Linked DNA regions of Saccharomyces cerevisiae S288C. Changing the gene in region 1 together with any one later gene gives a genetic interaction. Each region holds a gene or a part of one and is shown in the gene's direction. Other genes may lie near its edges.

The links.
Region 2: mutations in ERG25 (region 1) and BTS1 together harm fitness more than expected from each alone (negative genetic interaction), as found in Saccharomyces cerevisiae (3 studies listed by BioGRID).
Region 3: mutations in ERG25 (region 1) and PHO86 together harm fitness more than expected from each alone (negative genetic interaction), as found in Saccharomyces cerevisiae (3 studies listed by BioGRID).
Region 4: mutations in ERG25 (region 1) and MNN2 together harm fitness more than expected from each alone (negative genetic interaction), as found in Saccharomyces cerevisiae (3 studies listed by BioGRID).

The regions. Positions count from the first base shown.
Region 1 is NC_001139.9:608,422-613,057, forward strand, and holds ERG25 (methylsterol monooxygenase), read left to right. Parts: upstream 1-2,142; coding exon 2,143-3,072; downstream 3,073-4,636. Other genes in the region: septin SPR3, read left to right, coding at 1-680; ADE6 (phosphoribosylformylglycinamidine synthase), read right to left, coding at 3,468-4,636.
Region 2 is NC_001148.4:420,888-425,796, reverse strand, and holds BTS1 (farnesyltranstransferase), read left to right. Parts: upstream 1-1,904; coding exon 1,905-2,912; downstream 2,913-4,909. Other genes in the region: HTC1 (Htc1p), read left to right, coding at 1-546; YPL068C (uncharacterized protein), read left to right, coding at 701-1,582; guanine nucleotide exchange factor MUK1, read right to left, coding at 3,011-4,849. UniProt on the Saccharomyces cerevisiae protein: Catalyzes the trans-addition of the 3 molecules of IPP onto DMAPP to form geranylgeranyl pyrophosphate. Required for the membrane attachment of YPT1 and SEC4. May be involved in vesicle trafficking and protein sorting.
Region 3 is NC_001142.9:189,839-194,462, forward strand, and holds PHO86 (Pho86p), read left to right. Parts: upstream 1-2,692; coding exon 2,693-3,628; downstream 3,629-4,624. Other genes in the region: ALB1 (Alb1p), read left to right, coding at 1-405; ribulose-phosphate 3-epimerase RPE1, read right to left, coding at 536-1,252; YJL118W (uncharacterized protein), read left to right, coding at 1,801-2,460; SUN family protein NCA3, read right to left, coding at 4,022-4,624.
Region 4 is NC_001134.8:266,262-271,860, reverse strand, and holds MNN2 (alpha-1,2-mannosyltransferase MNN2), read left to right. Parts: upstream 1-2,357; coding exon 2,358-4,151; downstream 4,152-5,599. Other genes in the region: KAP104 (Kap104p), read left to right, coding at 1-914; cysteine-rich palmitoylated domain-containing protein CPP1, read right to left, coding at 1,228-1,614; glutathione-disulfide reductase GRX7, read left to right, coding at 4,525-5,136. UniProt on the Saccharomyces cerevisiae protein: Alpha-1,2-mannosyltransferase, responsible for addition of the first alpha-1,2-linked mannose to form the branches on the mannan backbone of oligosaccharides.

The DNA.
Region 1 (4,636 bases):
AAGATATTTTTCAAAAATATCCATTCAGTATAATTGCATCTAATGAGTACATTTTTAATGAAAAGGGCGAAAAAGTTAAAGGAAGACAATACAAATGGGGCGCTGTTGACATTGAAAATGAAAAGTACTGTGACTTCAAAATCTTGCAAAAGACGATTTTTGATTGGAATTTAATTGATCTTGTAGAAAGTACCGAGGATTATTATGAAAAATGCAGATCTGAAATGCTAAGAACTAGGCTATTAAAGGCCAGAGATTGCTTAACAACGAAAAGTGTTGACATAACGGAAGAACAAAGGAAATTTTTGGAGGAAGAAATGAACTTCGATGAAATCGAGGAAAACAAACTCAAAAATTACAAGTGCTATGAAATAATTAATAAAACGGTCATGGATAAGGTGGCTACAGAATGGGATCCTGAATTTATAACTAGACAATTAGAAGCTAAGAAAAAATTCAACGAGCTGTCCAACAGAGAAATTTCAAAATTTCGAGACTGGAAAAAGAGCCTATTCATGGAACAAGAGAATTTTAACCAAGAGATTGAACAATTGAATCACAAGTTGGAAAACTTACAACTGGAATGTCAGGACTTGGAATACAAGCTGTTAATCGGAAAAAGTTCCAACAGCCATTCCACAGATAGTGCTACTTTAGTAAACGTTCACATCAAAAGGTAGTATTAATTAAAAAAAAAAAAAAGCCAATAATTTCGCGCAAGCTTTGCTCTACATAATAAAAATACAATTAGGATAGAAATGAATATTTTTTTAGCGGCAGTTTTACCATAAGTAGCAAAACCCTAACAATACAATGTGAGACTAAAGTAAATCCGGGTAATACAAAATACAATTTTTTTTTATTCTTCACAGCGTTTTTTCGACGGAGGAGGGAAAAAAAAAAATTGTATTTAAGGCATCAAATGCGCGACATCATATACCTTTGTCCGCTGTTATCATACCTTGAACCTCTACATTTCAGCCTAGCGCGCGCAAAAAGAAAAAAAAATCATAAGCAAGAGTGGTACGGTAACCACAAGGCAATGCAAAGAAGGGTGCGATATCAAGTGATGTTACCTTCCTTTACTTTTTGCCTTTTTCTTGAATTGTCAATCCGCCCTTTTTTTCTTTTCAGTTTTTTCTCCTTTCATCCGTCTCGTTTATCATAATGATGATTTCACTTATACCTATATGTTTTTTCTGGCATCTCTAATGTTAGGATGTGAAGTTTAAGTACTCTCCATTCAATGAATACAATTTTTGACAATATCTGATTTTACTATGATTAAACAGACCGAGGGAGAAAAAAAAAAGGAACTAAAAAAGGGCCTACGTAGAAGATGATGTAAAAGTAGATTCGCATCTGAGAATGTTTTCTTCAAATTTTTCTTTTCGGCCTTGGCGCAGAAGACTTTCTCTTCGTCCGCGTCGTATAGGAAACAAAAAAGTGTAAAAAGTAAAAATCGGTATATTACGCAATCCATTCGTTACCCGGTGTAGTCACGTGCGGGTGCGGAGGGCAGCCGTTTAAACCCGTTTGGGCCTTGGTCCGATAGAACCATCTCGCAGGAAAGAGCAGAGCCAGTTATCGGGTGTCGTTTACGCCCAGATGTCGTTTAGCCAGCTCCGCAACGGCCACTGCCACTACCACTGCCTCCCTTCGTATACGGGACACAGAGATCGTATACGGTAAACGACTAGCACTAGGACAATAGCAACTAACAATGACCGATAACAGTCAGCAACCTCAAGGCACCTGGCACAAAACCGTCGAGGAAGAGGCCCTTTGCCACCGTATCGCATCGCTTTCCCACCAATTTTTTTTTTCTTGCTTGCCTCGCCTCTGCTGTGGTCGTATTATTATTATTCATTCTCTGCGCAGTTTAAACTATATACACACGATTAATCCGTTATGCATGTACATTTTCTTGTATGCGTACGCCTGTGTATGCATACTTCTATATAATATATAATACAGGAGGATCTATTCTTTTTTTTCTTCTTCTCTTCTTCTCTCCCTTTTTTCTCTCTCTTCGTTTCTTTCCTTCCAGTAAATCTTTATATTAGTTGTAACTTTTTCTCTTTAGATAGTAGCATAGAGGACTAAGGAAAAGTAGTACAGCCATAAAAAAAAGAGGAAAAGATGTCTGCCGTTTTCAACAACGCTACCCTTTCAGGTCTAGTCCAAGCAAGCACCTACTCACAAACTTTGCAAAATGTCGCCCATTACCAACCTCAATTGAATTTCATGGAGAAATACTGGGCCGCATGGTACAGTTACATGAACAATGATGTTTTGGCCACCGGTCTAATGTTCTTTTTATTGCATGAATTTATGTATTTCTTTAGATGTTTGCCATGGTTCATCATCGACCAAATTCCATACTTTAGAAGATGGAAGTTACAACCAACTAAGATTCCAAGTGCTAAGGAACAACTATACTGTTTGAAATCCGTTCTTCTATCTCATTTCTTGGTCGAGGCCATCCCTATCTGGACCTTCCACCCAATGTGTGAAAAATTAGGTATTACTGTCGAAGTTCCATTCCCATCTTTGAAAACAATGGCTCTAGAAATTGGTCTATTCTTCGTCTTGGAAGATACATGGCATTACTGGGCTCACCGTCTATTCCACTACGGTGTCTTCTACAAGTACATTCACAAGCAACATCACAGATACGCTGCTCCATTCGGTCTTTCTGCTGAATATGCTCATCCTGCTGAAACTTTGTCTTTGGGTTTTGGTACCGTTGGTATGCCAATTCTTTACGTCATGTACACTGGTAAATTACACTTGTTCACTCTATGTGTATGGATCACCCTAAGATTATTCCAAGCTGTTGACTCTCATTCTGGTTATGACTTCCCATGGTCTTTGAACAAGATCATGCCATTCTGGGCTGGCGCTGAACACCACGATTTGCATCATCACTACTTTATTGGTAACTACGCTTCCTCTTTCAGATGGTGGGATTACTGTCTAGACACTGAATCTGGTCCAGAAGCTAAGGCCTCCAGAGAAGAAAGAATGAAGAAGAGAGCTGAAAACAATGCTCAAAAGAAGACTAACTAAGAGAAGAAACATACTTCAAAAAAAAAAAAAAGAAAAACAACAAAAAAACGTATAAAATGAAATAAATTTCGAACCGCTTTTTTTCCTTTTTTTTTTTTTTACTTTGTTTGACCTCCCCTAACTCTTTCTTTTTACCTTCACAATTGTTTATTTTAATATATGATTTTTAAATTAATTCAGGTTAATTCTAAAAACTATATTGCAATCTTTTAAATATATGTATACACGTTCATTACCACGTATACATATCCATATATATATATATATATATACATACTATTTATGATAAATTTTTAACAAGCAAACCCATTATTAAATGCTATAAATAAAAGACAGCTTCTTTCTAATTATTATTCAAACTTAAAAACTACATATACAAAAACTACAAAAATCTTTCAACCGACCCATCTTCTGGCAGATCTGAATAATCTAATCCATGGACCGTATCCACCCCACTCTTCGTATTTGCCCTCTGGATACCAGGAATTGGCCTCCAATCTGCAAACTCTTTCAGGATGTGGCATCATGGCAAGCACTCTACCATTTGGTGACTTGATACCGGCAATACCATTGGTCGACCCATTGGGGTTGAAGGGGAACCTTTCGGTGACGTTACCGTAGTTGTCCACATACCTTATACAACATAAACCATCCTTTTCGAACTTTTCCAGTTGTTCAGCGCTTTTAGAAAATGTTGCTTTACCTTCACCATGTGCGACAGCAATTGGCAATTTGGATCCTGCCATGCCATTCAAGAAAACAGATTCCTCGCTAGAATTGTCCTTTTCTTGAGATATTTGCACCATACATACACGGGCTTCATATTGTTCACTAACATTTCTTTCGAAACTTGGCCAGTTTTCACACCCGGGTATGATATCTTTTAATCTACTCAAGAATTGACAACCATTACAAGCACCAAAAGCAAATGTATCTTGTCTTTCATTGAAGAACTTAGAAAATTGCGAGCGCACACCTTCGTGATACAATACGGATTTAGCCCAACCCGCACCTGCACCTAAGACATCACCATAAGAGAAACCACCACATGCGGCAAGACCGATGAAGTCATCCAAATGGAACCTACCTTCTAGCAAATCTGTCATAGTGACATCCACTGAGTTGAATCCAGCTTGTTGGAAGCACCATGCCATTTCCATTTGACCGTTCACACCTTGCTCTCTTAAGATAGCAACCTTTGGCCTTTGACTGGATAATTCTAATCCGATCTTCATATCATCGGCTGGGTTGTATGTTAGGGCATACTGCAAACCGGGATCTCTATCGTCCGTGATACTGGCAAACTCTTCTTCGGCTGTTTTTGGATTGTCTCTCAATTTCTGCATTTCGTAAGATGTCTTACTCCAAGTTTGCTCCAATTCAGATCTCGAATTGGCGTAAATTACATCATTTGTTGTGGAGTTAATAATCTTGATTTCCTGGCTTTGGAAGGATGGCTTACCAACAATAGAAATATATTCTTTAGCAACTCCGTTCTCGTTCAAGATTTTTTCGAACTTGCTCAAGTTCTTAGCAGAAATCTGGAATACTGCACCTAATTCTT
Region 2 (4,909 bases), on another chromosome or scaffold:
TGGGAACAAATCAAAGAGATAATTGAATCGGGGGAGCTTGCCCGTTTGAAACGAAGTCGCCAGATGACTGACAAATACCACGAGCATAAGAAAAGGACTGCTGGCCTGGACATGAACCAGTACGTTTTGCAAAAACTAGGCTGGTCGCTAGACGAACCGCAGCTCGAAAATGCTGCCGCGAAGGCTTTTAGTTCTTCTACTCTATATGCTGTGCGTGCCAACGATTTCCCGTATAACTTCGAGCCTGGTGTTGTACACCTTGTTCTCTGGTCCAAGGTTGCCCTGCCAGTACATTCCCCAGATAAGGCCGTGCGCGAAGCGGCCCGCGCTCGCATGAATGCATTTTTGCAGGCACAGCCGCTACTGCGTCCACTTCTAAGCTCGGGTCACGTGGCCTGGTTTGTCAACTACCCGGAACTACAAAGTGTTGCCCGGATTTTCCACGCTCACGTGCTGCTTTTCTTCCCACGGGAACGCTATTCCGCGGAACAGGTAAAAACGACCGTTGATGATATCCTTTCACACGGTTTCGAGCCACTTGCCTGATAAAGTTTTTTTTTTTTTTTTCAGCATGCCAAAATGCTACATACATTTGTTAATTATGTACTATAACCGATACTGGTATTAATGATGCGATGAGCTGATGAGACAGTAGATAAATAAAAGACGCTTCTACCTACACAAGCACATACAATATAATATGCATATGCAACTCAGGAAAAGAAAAAGGGTTGACTATTCAGGGAGAAATCAGACGTCCGATCCTCCTTCAACCACAACGGCAGCGGTACCATCCATTATTGTCCCTAAGAAGCGTAAAGTAGTCGCACAAAACATGGTTAGTCCAGCTATTCGAGCCACAACCACAACACTGGGCACCTCAAATATAATAATACCTAAGCCTCTGCAGCGCCCTAAATTCCACAATAGCGCCAGCCTATCTTCACCTGATGATGATCCCGAAAAGATCTCTGTATTGGAAGTTCAGAAAAATTTGTCCAATCTCATCAAAAGACAACAAAGATTATTTTATAAAGATATACATAAGCCGACTCTCGCCGGCTTGAAAAATTTCGAAATGTTAAGGCTGCCCAATGATCTAAAACTCCTACAAAACATCGTAAACCTATTATATTCATTCGAGCAATTAAACAGTGACTCGAAGACAAGACCAGTCACTACTTCCAAATTAAAGGCCTCCTCTCAAGCGCACTCAGACAAATTGAAAAAAATGCTAGCTGAGAGGAAACCTCCATTTAGCCACCCCAGTCACAGCGGCACTGCCTACCACAATGACATCATCCATGAGATAGCGAATTTGCATTCTATTAACCTGGTAGATTTGATTAATTTGGAAGTATATAATAACAATTGCCATACAAACAACACAGCGTTGCAAACTACGGCGAATTCGCTGACACTTAATAGCATTATCAAAAAGCTTGACAAGCCAATACTGAAAGAAAGAAATAATTCTCTGGTATGGCCCCATAAAAGCAGATTTAAAGCAAAAAGGAACCAACCTTCGCCTGGCCAATCTTTAATTAACAATACAGATATAACTCTCTACAACGATGTATAGCCGCCATCTCTACTCACTCCATAATATTACATATAGATATAGGACAAGCCCGCATTTTCATACTGAAAGGTAAACTTCTATTATTATAGTGGTATCCAACGTTCACCGCTTCCAGCATAGCAGAAATTACGTGTTTTTGCATATGTTATGCTGATCATTGTATGCTTACTACCATTTTTCTTTGCTTCGCCTTGCCTTCTTTGACGTTTTTTTGAAGCAAAAAAAAAGTCAAGACAGATGTGCTTACAAAACCATGTAAGGCTCATTTTCAAAGAAGCTACTAATAGAAAGAGAACAAAGCGTTTACGAGTCTGGAAAATCAATGGAGGCCAAGATAGATGAGCTGATCAATAATGATCCTGTTTGGTCCAGCCAAAATGAAAGCTTGATTTCAAAACCTTATAATCACATCCTTTTGAAACCTGGCAAGAACTTTAGACTAAATTTAATAGTTCAAATTAACAGAGTTATGAATTTGCCCAAAGACCAGCTGGCCATAGTTTCGCAAATTGTTGAGCTCTTGCATAATTCCAGCCTTTTAATCGACGATATAGAAGATAATGCTCCCTTGAGAAGGGGACAGACCACTTCTCACTTAATCTTCGGTGTACCCTCCACTATAAACACCGCAAATTATATGTATTTCAGAGCCATGCAACTTGTATCGCAGCTAACCACAAAAGAGCCTTTGTATCATAATTTGATTACGATTTTCAACGAAGAATTGATCAATCTACATAGGGGACAAGGCTTGGATATATACTGGAGAGACTTTCTGCCTGAAATCATACCTACTCAGGAGATGTATTTGAATATGGTTATGAATAAAACAGGCGGCCTTTTCAGATTAACGTTGAGACTCATGGAAGCGCTGTCTCCTTCCTCACACCACGGCCATTCGTTGGTTCCTTTCATAAATCTTCTGGGTATTATTTATCAGATTAGAGATGATTACTTGAATTTGAAAGATTTCCAAATGTCCAGCGAAAAAGGCTTTGCTGAGGACATTACAGAGGGGAAGTTATCTTTTCCCATCGTCCACGCCCTTAACTTCACTAAAACGAAAGGTCAAACTGAGCAACACAATGAAATTCTAAGAATTCTCCTGTTGAGGACAAGTGATAAAGATATAAAACTAAAGCTGATTCAAATACTGGAATTCGACACCAATTCATTGGCCTACACCAAAAATTTTATTAATCAATTAGTGAATATGATAAAAAATGATAATGAAAATAAGTATTTACCTGATTTGGCTTCGCATTCCGACACCGCCACCAATTTACATGACGAATTGTTATATATAATAGACCACTTATCCGAATTGTGAAATAAATTGATCAATCAAATTAGTGGAGGAAGATAGTCAGAAATAAAGCCTTCTCTCCTCCTCTTTCGCATCTATACATACGATTTCATATATACGTTTCATTGCATCATCTTTTGATATATCTCAAAAAGATCTCTTAGTTCGCAAATAGTCAAATCTTCAAATTTATAGCCTTTATATTTTTTCCACGATTTCTGAAACTCCTTTTTATCAGCACCGTTAATGCTAGCGGTTACTGTCAAATCGCCGGTAAATTCGCGATTTCCGTGCTCTAAAGATGCTGAAGATCGTGAAGATGATGAAGTTGATCGTGAGCCATCCCTAGACATCTCTGTTGTATCTCTATTGCTCAATTCCATGGATAATTGAGACGAACTTCGTGGTATGTTTAAGTTGTTGCTACTGTGAAGGTTATTATTGCTAGTATTGTTAGGATGTGGTGGAGTATATGACCTAATTTTTCCGATGATATTTTTTAATGATGAATCAAAAACGGTCCTGAAGCCATCATACGAATTCGATCTTGTAACATCTGGCCTTTGGATAGTAGGAGTCACGATGTCACCTAGGTTACTGCCGTTATTACCGTTGTTTTTATGCATTATAGCAGTTTTTGATGGCAATGAGACTCTACTGCTGATTGAATTTTCTAAAATTTTACTTTCATTTACAGTCAATTTATCTTGTAGCTCATTTGAAAAATCATTTTTGGTTAAGCCTTCAACAAAAACTAATGCAGCTTCTAGATTGGTTAATGCAAAGGATTCTGTTTCGACCAGCTTTTTCTTATATCTGAACAGCCTGATGAATTCGGCATTCAAGAAAATATCCCGTGGAACAATCGTAATAATGTAGTAGATTAGCAACGAAAGATAATCATCATTAGACATTTCTTGGGAATATGTCATGATTTCATGTAGTTTCAGTAGGGCCTTTATCTTTTCACATGGTGAAATCGAATGATAAGTAAACTCATATAAAATATCTTTGATCTCTTCAAACTTTGGTTCCGGATCAATGCCATTATTAAGACTCAGAAACTTTATCAAATTGATTTTATTCATTGTTGAGAGTTTGGACAAACAGAGGATTTTTTCATTCAACAACTTATTGTATTCTGTGAATTCAACACTGTTTCTAAATAGATTTCCAACCTTGAAAGTTTGTAATTGGTGTGGTTTGAAGGTTTTCATTTTATTCGGTGAAGATACGGATGTGCCTACTATAAGAATTTTCTTAAAAACATCTCTTTCACAAAGTTCCATATATTTTTCGATTTTCATGTTGTTTAATTCGTTGATTTTCAATTGCTTTTTTATCTCTTCAGGTGACAACATTTGTGTGGCATTAGTTGAATTTGATATTGACTCATTACTGAAAAGCGATGAAGATCTTCTTGGCCTCATAAGTGAATTTCCACTACTACTCCTACTTCTGCCAAAAATTCCGCTAAGACCACTACTTAACGTTTCTTTGGCAGCCAAGAATGAACTAGAGCCCCCGCCAGAAAAATAATAGCCATTATTATTCGCTGAACTGACGTGCTGGAATGATGCTTTATCAAATTTTATGTAAAAGCTTTGGAAAAGACTAGACAATTGCAGTACTGATAGTGGCCGTACGTACTTTGGCTGCTTTAGGTCATCAATAAAAATGTCAATTAATTTTGATAATTCTGGAGGTAAATTGGTGACAGTGTTCAACGCTTCGTCAATTTCTTGTTTTGTCAATATAGGAGACTTATTGTTTTCTAGCCTTTCTCCTGTTGTAGAGTTTTCATCACCATCACAGCTACTTCTCTCATTGTCATTTTGATCCTCATGTAGATTTTGTTGAAATTGCATGCCGCCAGTTGTGTTCTTGTATGATTCCCTGATGGATTGATTAGGGTCAAACCTTGGATTGGTTATCGGAGGAGTGAATAATTGTCTAGCCATTTGACTTTTATTGTTAGAGGGCGTACTTCTTTTTTATCTGCTCTTCTTCTTGGCTTCTAA
Region 3 (4,624 bases), on another chromosome or scaffold:
AGCGTAAATTCGAAATCTGGGGAAATAAAATCAGTAGCGTTGGACCTATACTTCCAAAACAAGAAGAACGAAAGTCAGAATTCCACTGCTGTGACATTACAAAATGCTTCATCTTCTCCGGCCTCCATCACCACGAGGACACTTTCCAAAAAGAGAGCTAAGAAAATCGAGAGAAACTTAAAATATGCTACACAGAGAAAATTATTGGTTGACGCAAGCGCTAAGCTAGAAGACGAAATGGATATTGATCTAGATGGCGGTAAGAAAGTGAAAGAGAATGAAAAGAAGAGTTCTTTGACTTTGGTTAAGGAAGCCTTATGGAGTGTCATTGACGATACTGCATCCCAGGGATTGATCATCGAAAACGGACAAGGCACCACCCTGGGCGGCCCATTTTTCCCATGAGTTAGGCACTTACGTATCTTGTATAGTAGGAATGGCTCGGTTTATGTATATTAGGAGATCAAAACGAGAAAAAAATACCATATCGTATAGTATAGAGAGTATAAATATAAGAAATGCCGCATATGTACAACTAATCTAGCAAATCTCTAGAACGCAATTCCTTCGAGACTTCTTCTTTCATGAAGGAGATAACATCGTGCGGGTCAGCTGCAGTGAAAACACTGGTACCAGCGACAATAACGTTGGCACCGGCTTTGGCGGCTTTCGGGATGGTCTCCTTGCCCAAACCACCATCGACTTGGATATTCAAATGGGGGAACTTGGCTCTCAAAGTTTCCACTTTTGGCATCATGTCTTCCATGAATTTTTGGCCTCCAAACCCAGGTTCCACAGTCATAACAAGAGCCATATCCAAATGAGGAGCTAGTTCAAATAAAACGTCAACAGAAGTACCAGGTTTGATGGCGCATGCAGCTTTGATGCCCTTAGACTTAATCAACTTAACTAAATGCAAAGGGTCTTGTGTGGCCTCGTAGTGGAACGTAAATTGGTCAGCACCACATTTAGCAAAATCGTCGACCCATTTTTCAGGATTTTCAACCATCATGTGACAATCGAAGAACGCAGTGGGCTTCTTTTCTGTGTTGCTAGCATCGCCAGGGCGTGGCACAGAACGACGTAGGGAGGTAACAATTGGTTGGCCCAGAGTAATGTTTGGAACAAAATGGCCGTCCATGACATCGATATGTAACCAATCTGCGCCGGCGTTGATGACCTTATGACATTCGCAACCCAAGTTGGCGAAGTCAGAAGCAAGGATACTGGGAGCTATAATTGGTTTGACCATTTTTTCTTGTGTGTTTACCTCGCTCTTGGAATTAGCAAATGGCCTTCTTGCATGAAATTGTATCGAGTTTGCTTTATTTTTCTTTTTACGGGCGGATTCTTTCTATTCTGGCTTTCCTATAACAGAGATCATGAAAGAAGTTCCAGCTTACGGATCAAGAAAGTACCTATACATATACAAAAATCTGATTACTTTCCCAGCTCGACTTGGATAGCTGTTCTTGTTTTCTCTTGGCGACACATTTTTTGTTTCTGAAGCCACGTCCTGCTTTATAAGAGGACATTTAAAGTTGCAGGACTTGAATGCAATTACCGGAAGAAGCAACCAACCGGCATGGTTCAGCATACAATACACATTTGATTAGAAAAGCAGAGAATAAATAGACATGATACCTCTCTTTTTATCCTCTGCAGCGTATTATTGTTTATTCCACGCAGGCATCGGTCGTTGGCTGTTGTTATGTCTCAGATAAGCGCGTTTGTTATGCGAAAAAAAAAAACTTTACAGAGGCTTTGTTTATATATAGAAAGACCACGAAAAAAACAGTGATGGCTTCATGCTTTTCAGTTTCATTATTGGCACGAGTAGCAGTCGTTGAGCCCATCAGAGTGCAACTTTGGTTAAATGTCGTAAATTGTATGATTGAATCATCCATGCACCAATGTCCTCCACGGGATCGCCACTTTTTTTCTTCATCACGCCCCATTTTGTTGATCCGACGTTCTGTATCAACTGTATACAGATTCGTTGCTTCTCGCACCACACAGGTTTTACGTGCGGCCAAGACCGTTGTCAAGTGGTTCATTATTGTCGACCCACTGATAAATTCTATTCTAATCAATTATCTCATTGATAGGCTCTGCACTCTTGGGCATGCTGTATTGCGAGTGAAAAAGCGCAAGACCGAGGAGAGACAACCCTGTTCTCCCATTATACAACACACACACGTTAAGAGACGCAAACGGCCTCGTCTGAGGATCGTAGCCATCAAGAGGAAGCGGAGGCGTCGAAGACCACATCGCATCGAGCGTCCACTCTCAAATATGTACCCAATAATGGAAATCCAGATGGTGGCTGTTCCACTTGCTCTTCCCAGTCCAACTGCACTGGTGCATTATCAGCAGCAGCAACAGCAGCTCCCGCAACATCATCCCTGGTACGACCTCTCGCTTTCTGAAGAAGCCCTCTCGACCTGCTGTTGTAGTTGACCTATAACTGAAAATTCACACCCGCATTACCCAGCGCGCCCGCACGTGCTCTTTATGGAAACTATAATGAATAACGACCAAAGAACATCTTTTTTTCTCTCTCACACAAATAAAGCTTTTCATGTTTATAGATATATAGCACATACTTTTACTAAGTTTTCTAGATTGATTACGACTCTTCCAGTTGCACATTTTTTCATAGCGAAAGTACAAGAGTAGGAAGAGTGGCACAATGGCGGTTCAACAAAGAAAGAAGAAAGAGGGTAGAAAGTCCGATAAAAATGCCCCATCGGTCCCACAAGTAGATGCATCATTAGACAAACCACTTGATATTGATGCTCCTCCTACTATTTACAGTGTTAATTTGAAACCAGAATATGGTACAGCTGCATTGAATTTGTCCGCGGATTTCATCAGACAAGAACAGGCATTGGCTAATAAGTATTTGTTCTTCCATCCCGTCATCCTTGTTGTTCTAACCATTGGGCTGCTTATTTACTTGACGCCAAGAATTGTCTTTCCGATAAGGAATACAGGATCCGTTGCTGGATGGTTCTACCAGCTGGCTCGTATTAATAAGAAGGTCGTCCTCAGCGGTTTAGTGTTCACCGCAATTGGTGCATCTTTCTTGTTCACCCTCCTCTCACGTGTATCTGACTCGTATTTCAAGTCGAAGATCAACCAACTTGTTGGTTCTAAAGGTGAGAAAGTTTTCGGCATCAATTTGAATGATTTGGTGGCAAGACATGAAACAAAGGATCCAGTGGTGAACAATACGCATATCATCGTTTATAGAGAAACGCCCATTGCATTGATTTCGTTAGCCCCTAACATGACATTAAGTACTGATGAAAATTTAGTCATGAGTGTTACTACTGTGGGTTGTCGTCGTGTATATGTAAAAAGTGGCATTATCGAAGATTTGATTGATTGGGCTATGCTACACTCCAAAAATATTAGAAGCAGCGGCAAATACGGGGAGACCATGAAACTCTTGATTGATGTCTACTCATTCGATAGCACGCTTAAGGAAATTTTGAAGAAAAAAGGGTTCACTTATATTCAAAGCATTAGAGTCTCTGAAAATCGACTACTAGGCGGTTTGTTCGGTGTGAAGAAGGAATTATGGGGTTTGCAATTCCATTTTAAAGCCGAACACAAGGACTAGGATACTGTTATTTTTATAGCCAAAAAATGAAAAAAAACAGCATGGCATCTTGTTAGTTCTGTTGCAACTCGCAGGAAGTAACAAAATAAACACTATAATATTTCCATATATTTATATATATGTATACAAACACCTTGTTAACAAAAAAAAAATAAACGAACTAAAGAAAACCGTAATGCAGAGTACACCTTGAAGAGAGAGAAAAGAAAATCTTTGAATCCATAGCATAATAGCGATCAACGAAACTTTTTAAGAAGTAAAATGAACTGAAAGGAGAAAAATATAACGGAATCCCAATGTATAATAATAAATAGAGAGCGGAAGAAAAAGAATAATAAGGGGAATTGAGGGTATCAAAATACAAGACATTCTTTTACCGAAAAGAAGAATGACTTAATAGAAAACAAATTCAGCAGATCCAGATAAAACAGAAACTGTGCAACCATCGGAACCATCTCCGGTGAAAGAGCCATCTTCATACGCACAGCTGCCCTGAACGTTAGCGCCATCGGATGCAACTATTTTAACGTTAAAGTTGGCAGCTTGGTTACTGTTGGGGTTTGGAATCAACGACAAGTATGTTTCTCCATTAGTGGAACCAGCACCTAACACTAGTGGAGCCCAGTTGCCGACATCCGAACCAGAAGTACCCCAAATGCACCCATCTTCTGCAGATACACCGGCGTTGTTAATATAGTACTGAGCAGAAGTCTTTTTACCCTGCCATTGATAATAAGTGTCTTCATCAACGACTGAAATTGGTTGTGAATCTCCACCATCAACCACTGTGGGAATCACCATGTTTTCTGATCCTGGGTAATCCGTCCTACATAGAGCAATGGAGTCAGACTTTTTGTTAATGGCCTTAGCAGATGTTTCATCCGTAGAACATAAATCGCTGGTATCAGTGTTGGTACGGTACAAGTAACCATTTTTACAGTAAAGACCACCAACAGATTTACCATCGCTTGGTTGGTCAGAAGGCCATTGAGTCTT
Region 4 (5,599 bases), on another chromosome or scaffold:
TGGCATCATCACTGGGGGAAAGATTCATGCCTATGGCACCAGAAGTGTACAACAGAGCCTTTAGAATTCTATGTCATTGTGTCGAATTGGAAGCCAAATCACATCAAGACCCGACAATAGTAGTGCCTGAGAAGGACTTCATCATCACCTCATTAGATTTGATTGATGGATTGGTACAAGGTCTTGGCGCTCACTCGCAGGATCTATTGTTCCCTCAAGGGACGAAGGATTTAACGATATTGAAAATCATGCTAGAATGTTTGCAGGACCCTGTCCATGAAGTAAGACAAAGCTGCTTTGCCCTGTTGGGAGATATTGTATATTTTTTCAATTCGGAACTGGTAATTGGTAATTTGGAGGATTTCTTGAAGTTGATTGGTACGGAAATAATGCATAACGACGATAGTGATGGTACTCCTGCTGTGATAAATGCGATATGGGCGCTTGGTTTGATAAGCGAACGTATCGATTTGAATACTTATATCATTGATATGTCTAGAATCATTCTAGATTTATTTACCACCAACACACAAATCGTAGACAGCTCTGTGATGGAGAACTTGTCTGTGACCATCGGAAAAATGGGGCTAACACACCCTGAAGTTTTCAGTTCTGGCGCATTTGCCAATGATTCCAACTGGAATAAATGGTGTTTGTCCGTTAACGCATTGGACGATGTAGAGGAAAAGAGTAGCGCGTACATGGGTTTCCTGAAAATTATCAATTTGACCAGCACGGAGGTCACAATGAGTAATGATACCATTCATAAAATTGTTACGGGCCTTTCAAGCAATGTAGAGGCGAATGTTTTTGCGCAAGAGATCTACACCTTTTTGATGAACCATTCTGCCCAAATTTCTGCAATAAATTTCACGCCCGATGAAATCTCCTTCTTACAACAGTTCACCAGCTAAAATTTTTTTTACTGTATCCTACGTGTTTGTATAGTTTGGTACATTATTACTAGTGATATATACATAGCACAATTCGGAAAAAAAAAAAAGGTGCATAACTGCAAATGGATCACATAGAAATGAAAATAGTTATAAAAGTTACATATAATTAATAGACGTATTACATACATGCTTAAAGTGACATGTTAAAGTTTTTTTTTTTATCTCCTTGTGAAAAAAAATAACACTGAGGGGAAGAAAGGCAACTGCAAAGAACAGAAGGGGAGATTATTCTTTTTTTTTTTTTCATTCTTGAATACTTTTGCGGGTTCTCTTAGAATAGCATATCCATGGTGCAGCATATACATAATGCAGCCAGACATGCAGCCAGACAACCTTCGTTACCCCTCTGGGGTGGTTGTTGTTGGACGTAGACTGGTTGTTGATGGCCTTGTTGGTTATATCCCTGCTGGTTATATCCCTGCTGATTGTAGCCCTGCTGATTGTACCCTTGCTGATTGTACCCTTGCTGATTGTATCCTTGTTGGTTATAGTATCCGGGATGCTGCTGCTGCTGCTGGTAGTACTGCTGCTGTTGTTGGGGTGGGTATCCACGCTCCTGAGTTTTGTTCTGATGAGCGGATGAAGGTGGCGGGTTGGAGGGACGGGAATATTGGCTCTTCTCGCCGGCGGTTCCGCCGTAGTAATCGTTAGCAGACATGGTGGTTGTGTGTAGGACTATCTTAAGCTTACTAGTGAGTCTCTTCAATGCTTGTCTTGAGAAGAGAAAGAGCCAGAGGGGGATTTTGGAAAAAGCCAAATTGACATACTTTTATAGCTTCGGCCGCAGCAGAATGGCTGAAGAGTAAGAGGGCGCAGAGCGGCTGAGCGAACCCGTCGGGCGCGACCAGCCGATAGTAGCACAGTAGAATTTTAGAAGCATTCGTTATCAGGCCGATGTGTGCAATTATTGTAGGTCTGCAGTAACGTAGCTCTACTTTTTCGCAGTCCCGTAGTTTTAAAACTTTTAGTTAATCAGGTGTGAGGTGGAATGAGCGATGGCACTATGTCGGGCAAGGCAGCTTAGCGCACAAGTTAAGCTGGTGCGCTCAGAAGTTGGAGGGTTCGCTAAATAGGTTATGCAAACATGCAAGTCAAGTGAGTCGCCATTGGCTCGCTTGGTGATTAGGTGACTCTAATACATCGTCCAGGACCCGTTATTACCGTTCACGTGCTAAAAAAGGATCGCGTCCTTTTGCGGAGGGATGAAAAAGATAGTGAAAAAATAACAATGAAGAAAAAAAAAATATAGAAGAATCATCAAAATAAATTACGTGTACTTGGTGTTGCTTATACGTTAAAAGCAGAATTGCCCTACTTTTTAATATCCTCGTGCTGCTCAAGGTATCATATCTACTTCGAGACAAATCAGTGTAGGTAGGTCAGTAAAATTATATTTTCAGTATGCTGCTTACCAAAAGGTTTTCAAAGCTGTTCAAGCTGACGTTCATAGTTTTGATATTGTGCGGGCTGTTCGTCATTACAAACAAATACATGGATGAGAACACGTCGGTCAAGGAGTACAAGGAGTACTTAGACAGATATGTCCAGAGTTACTCCAATAAGTATTCATCTTCCTCAGACGCCGCCAGCGCTGACGATTCAACCCCATTGAGGGACAATGATGAGGCAGGCAATGAAAAGTTGAAAAGCTTCTACAACAACGTTTTCAACTTTCTAATGGTTGATTCGCCCAAGGGGAGTACTGCAAAGCAGTATAACGAGGCATGCTTATTAAAGGGTGACATTGGAGACCGTCCCGACCACTACAAAGATCTTTACAAGTTGTCTGCTAAGGAGCTGTCCAAGTGTTTGGAACTATCTCCGGATGAAGTAGCAAGTCTGACCAAAAGCCATAAGGACTACGTAGAGCATATAGCGACTCTCGTCTCGCCAAAGGGTACGTACAAAGGGTCCGGTATAGCCACAGTGGGTGGCGGGAAGTTCTCCCTTATGGCATTTTTGATCATTAAGACTTTAAGGAATATGGGGACCACGTTACCTGTGGAAGTCCTGATCCCTCCTGGTGATGAAGGTGAAACTGAGTTTTGTAACAAGATTCTGCCTAAGTATAACTCCAAGTGTATTTACGTTTCAGATATTCTACCACGAGAGACGATTGAAAAATTTGTTTTCAAAGGATACCAGTTTAAATCATTGGCCCTTATCGCTTCTAGTTTTGAAAACCTGCTCTTACTGGATGCTGACAACTTCCCCATCAAACCCCTAGACAACATATTCAATGAAGAACCATATGTGTCTACGGGCTTGGTCATGTGGCCCGATTTCTGGAGGCGTACAACTCACCCATTGTATTACGACATTGCAGGTATTGCTGTGGACAAGAAAAAGAGAGTTCGCAATTCTCGAGACGATATCACCCCACCTGCTGTTTACACAAAGGATTTGAAGGATTTGAGTGACGTCCCGCTAAGTGACCTAGACGGAACAATACCCGACGTGTCTACGGAATCCGGCCAACTGATGATAAACAAAACGAAGCATTTGGCTACGGCTCTTCTATCTTTATTCTACAACGTCAATGGACCAACGTGGTACTACCCAATATTTTCTCAAAAAGCTGCTGGTGAAGGTGATAAGGAAACTTTCATTGCCGCTGCAAACTTTTATGGTCTATCATTTTACCAAGTTAGAACAAGGACAGGCGTTGAAGGCTACCATGATGAAGACGGGTTTCATGGTGTAGCAATGTTACAACACGACTTTGTGCAGGATTATGGCCGTTACTTAAATGCTATGGAGAGCATTGGCAACAAATACGGTGGCACTAAATCAGCTGATGCAATCAAGTTTGACAAAAACTATTCCCTCGAAAAATACACCGAAGAATTTTTCGACAACGAGGACTTAAATGCCAAGAATCATGTAGATGTTATGTTCATCCATTCAAACTTCCCAAAGTTTGACCCATACGATTTATCTAAAAGCAATTTTTTGACTACGAATGGTAAACCTGCTCGTTCATATACGGCCTTAAAAAAGGTAAAAAATTACGATATTGAACTAGAGAATTTCAAGGTTTTAAACGAATATGTTTGTGTTAATAAGAATCCTTTCAAATATCTCGATGACCTTTTAGGGCAGGATAAAACGGAATGGAAAAGAGTGTGTGGTTACATCACCGATAGATTAGCATTTTTAGAATCTACTCATGATAAGGCGATTGCCGGTAAATAATATGCAACGGGTCGGACTATAGTTTGGACAACTTCCATTGGCGTTTTCTACATTCTTATTACTATTCCTTACATAGTTATGTTTATTTATCTTCCAGTTATGTAAATTTTTTCCTTCACAATCCATATAAAATGACTTTACTACAGATGTATAAATATGCAGTCCCGGGTGTATTTGAGAATCGAGACTACGTCATACCGGTAAGTGGGACTGCGTTTTGAAAAAAAATAAAGAAGTACTTTCGGCAGGATATTTGCCAATGTGTACATATCCCCTCAGTGAAAAAGCTCGAATCAAATAAAAGAAAAAACCTATATATTGGAAAGAAGCAAAATTTTCAAATTAAACGCAAAACAACTGAAGAAAATTAGAGATGGCTATTGTTATAAACAAAAGAAACGTGAGAGTCTTGGTAATAACTAATTTACTGCTCATTGTTGTGTTTTTTGTGTTAAGGAATTCGAATGCTAGCGTCAACGAAAGTATTACTACTCACCATCCTGATTCATTGGTGACGTTTGACAATTCAGGAAATGCACCTGGCACTCACCAATCTGTCCATGATACAGTAAATACACAAGATAAGGAAGCCGAAGAAGTTGATAAAAATAGTGGGGACGCTGAATTTGATGCCGCTGCAGAATACAACAAAATAATGGAACAGTCACCCATGATTGTATTTAGCAAGACTGGCTGCCCATATAGCAAAAAACTGAAAGCTTTGTTGACTAATTCGTACACGTTTTCTCCATCTTACTACGTTGTAGAATTGGATAGGCACGAACACACAAAAGAACTACAAGACCAGATTGAAAAAGTCACTGGTAGGAGAACAGTCCCAAACGTTATCATCGGTGGTACTTCCAGAGGTGGTTATACTGAGATAGCAGAGTTACATAAAAATGATGAACTTCTAGACTCTTTCAAAAAATGGAGCGATGGGGCGTTTACTGTAAAAGCTAATTCGCAATCTGAGAGTGCCTAGATCAGATTATAAACTGAGAGTTATTCTTCTTCTTCTCCCACAGTAGCGAAAGAGGATATTTAGGTAGTATACAGATTTAAATGTAGTAAGGAAAAAAATTAAATATTGGCCATCTGTTTTAGGCATTTCATGTGGACAACATAAGCCTTTTGGACTGTTTAAAGTAGGTTAACGTAGAGCAGAAAAATATGAGAAGAAGCCTGTAATTTGTATAGTCAAGCATATATATTACATGAGTTTGGTGATCAGCTTAATTTTTCAGTATTCAAAAAAATGCTTCCAATCGGATTTGAACCGATGATCTCCACATTACTAGTGTGGCGCCTTACCAACTTGGCCATAGAAGCAGTTTTTGATGTGAGAGTCGCGTAGCGAATTTGCTTATACAAATGTTAAGGTAACTTCAGATCTAAACTCAAACTTGTATTTTCCTCTATATTTATCTCATCTTGGATTGTGGTTT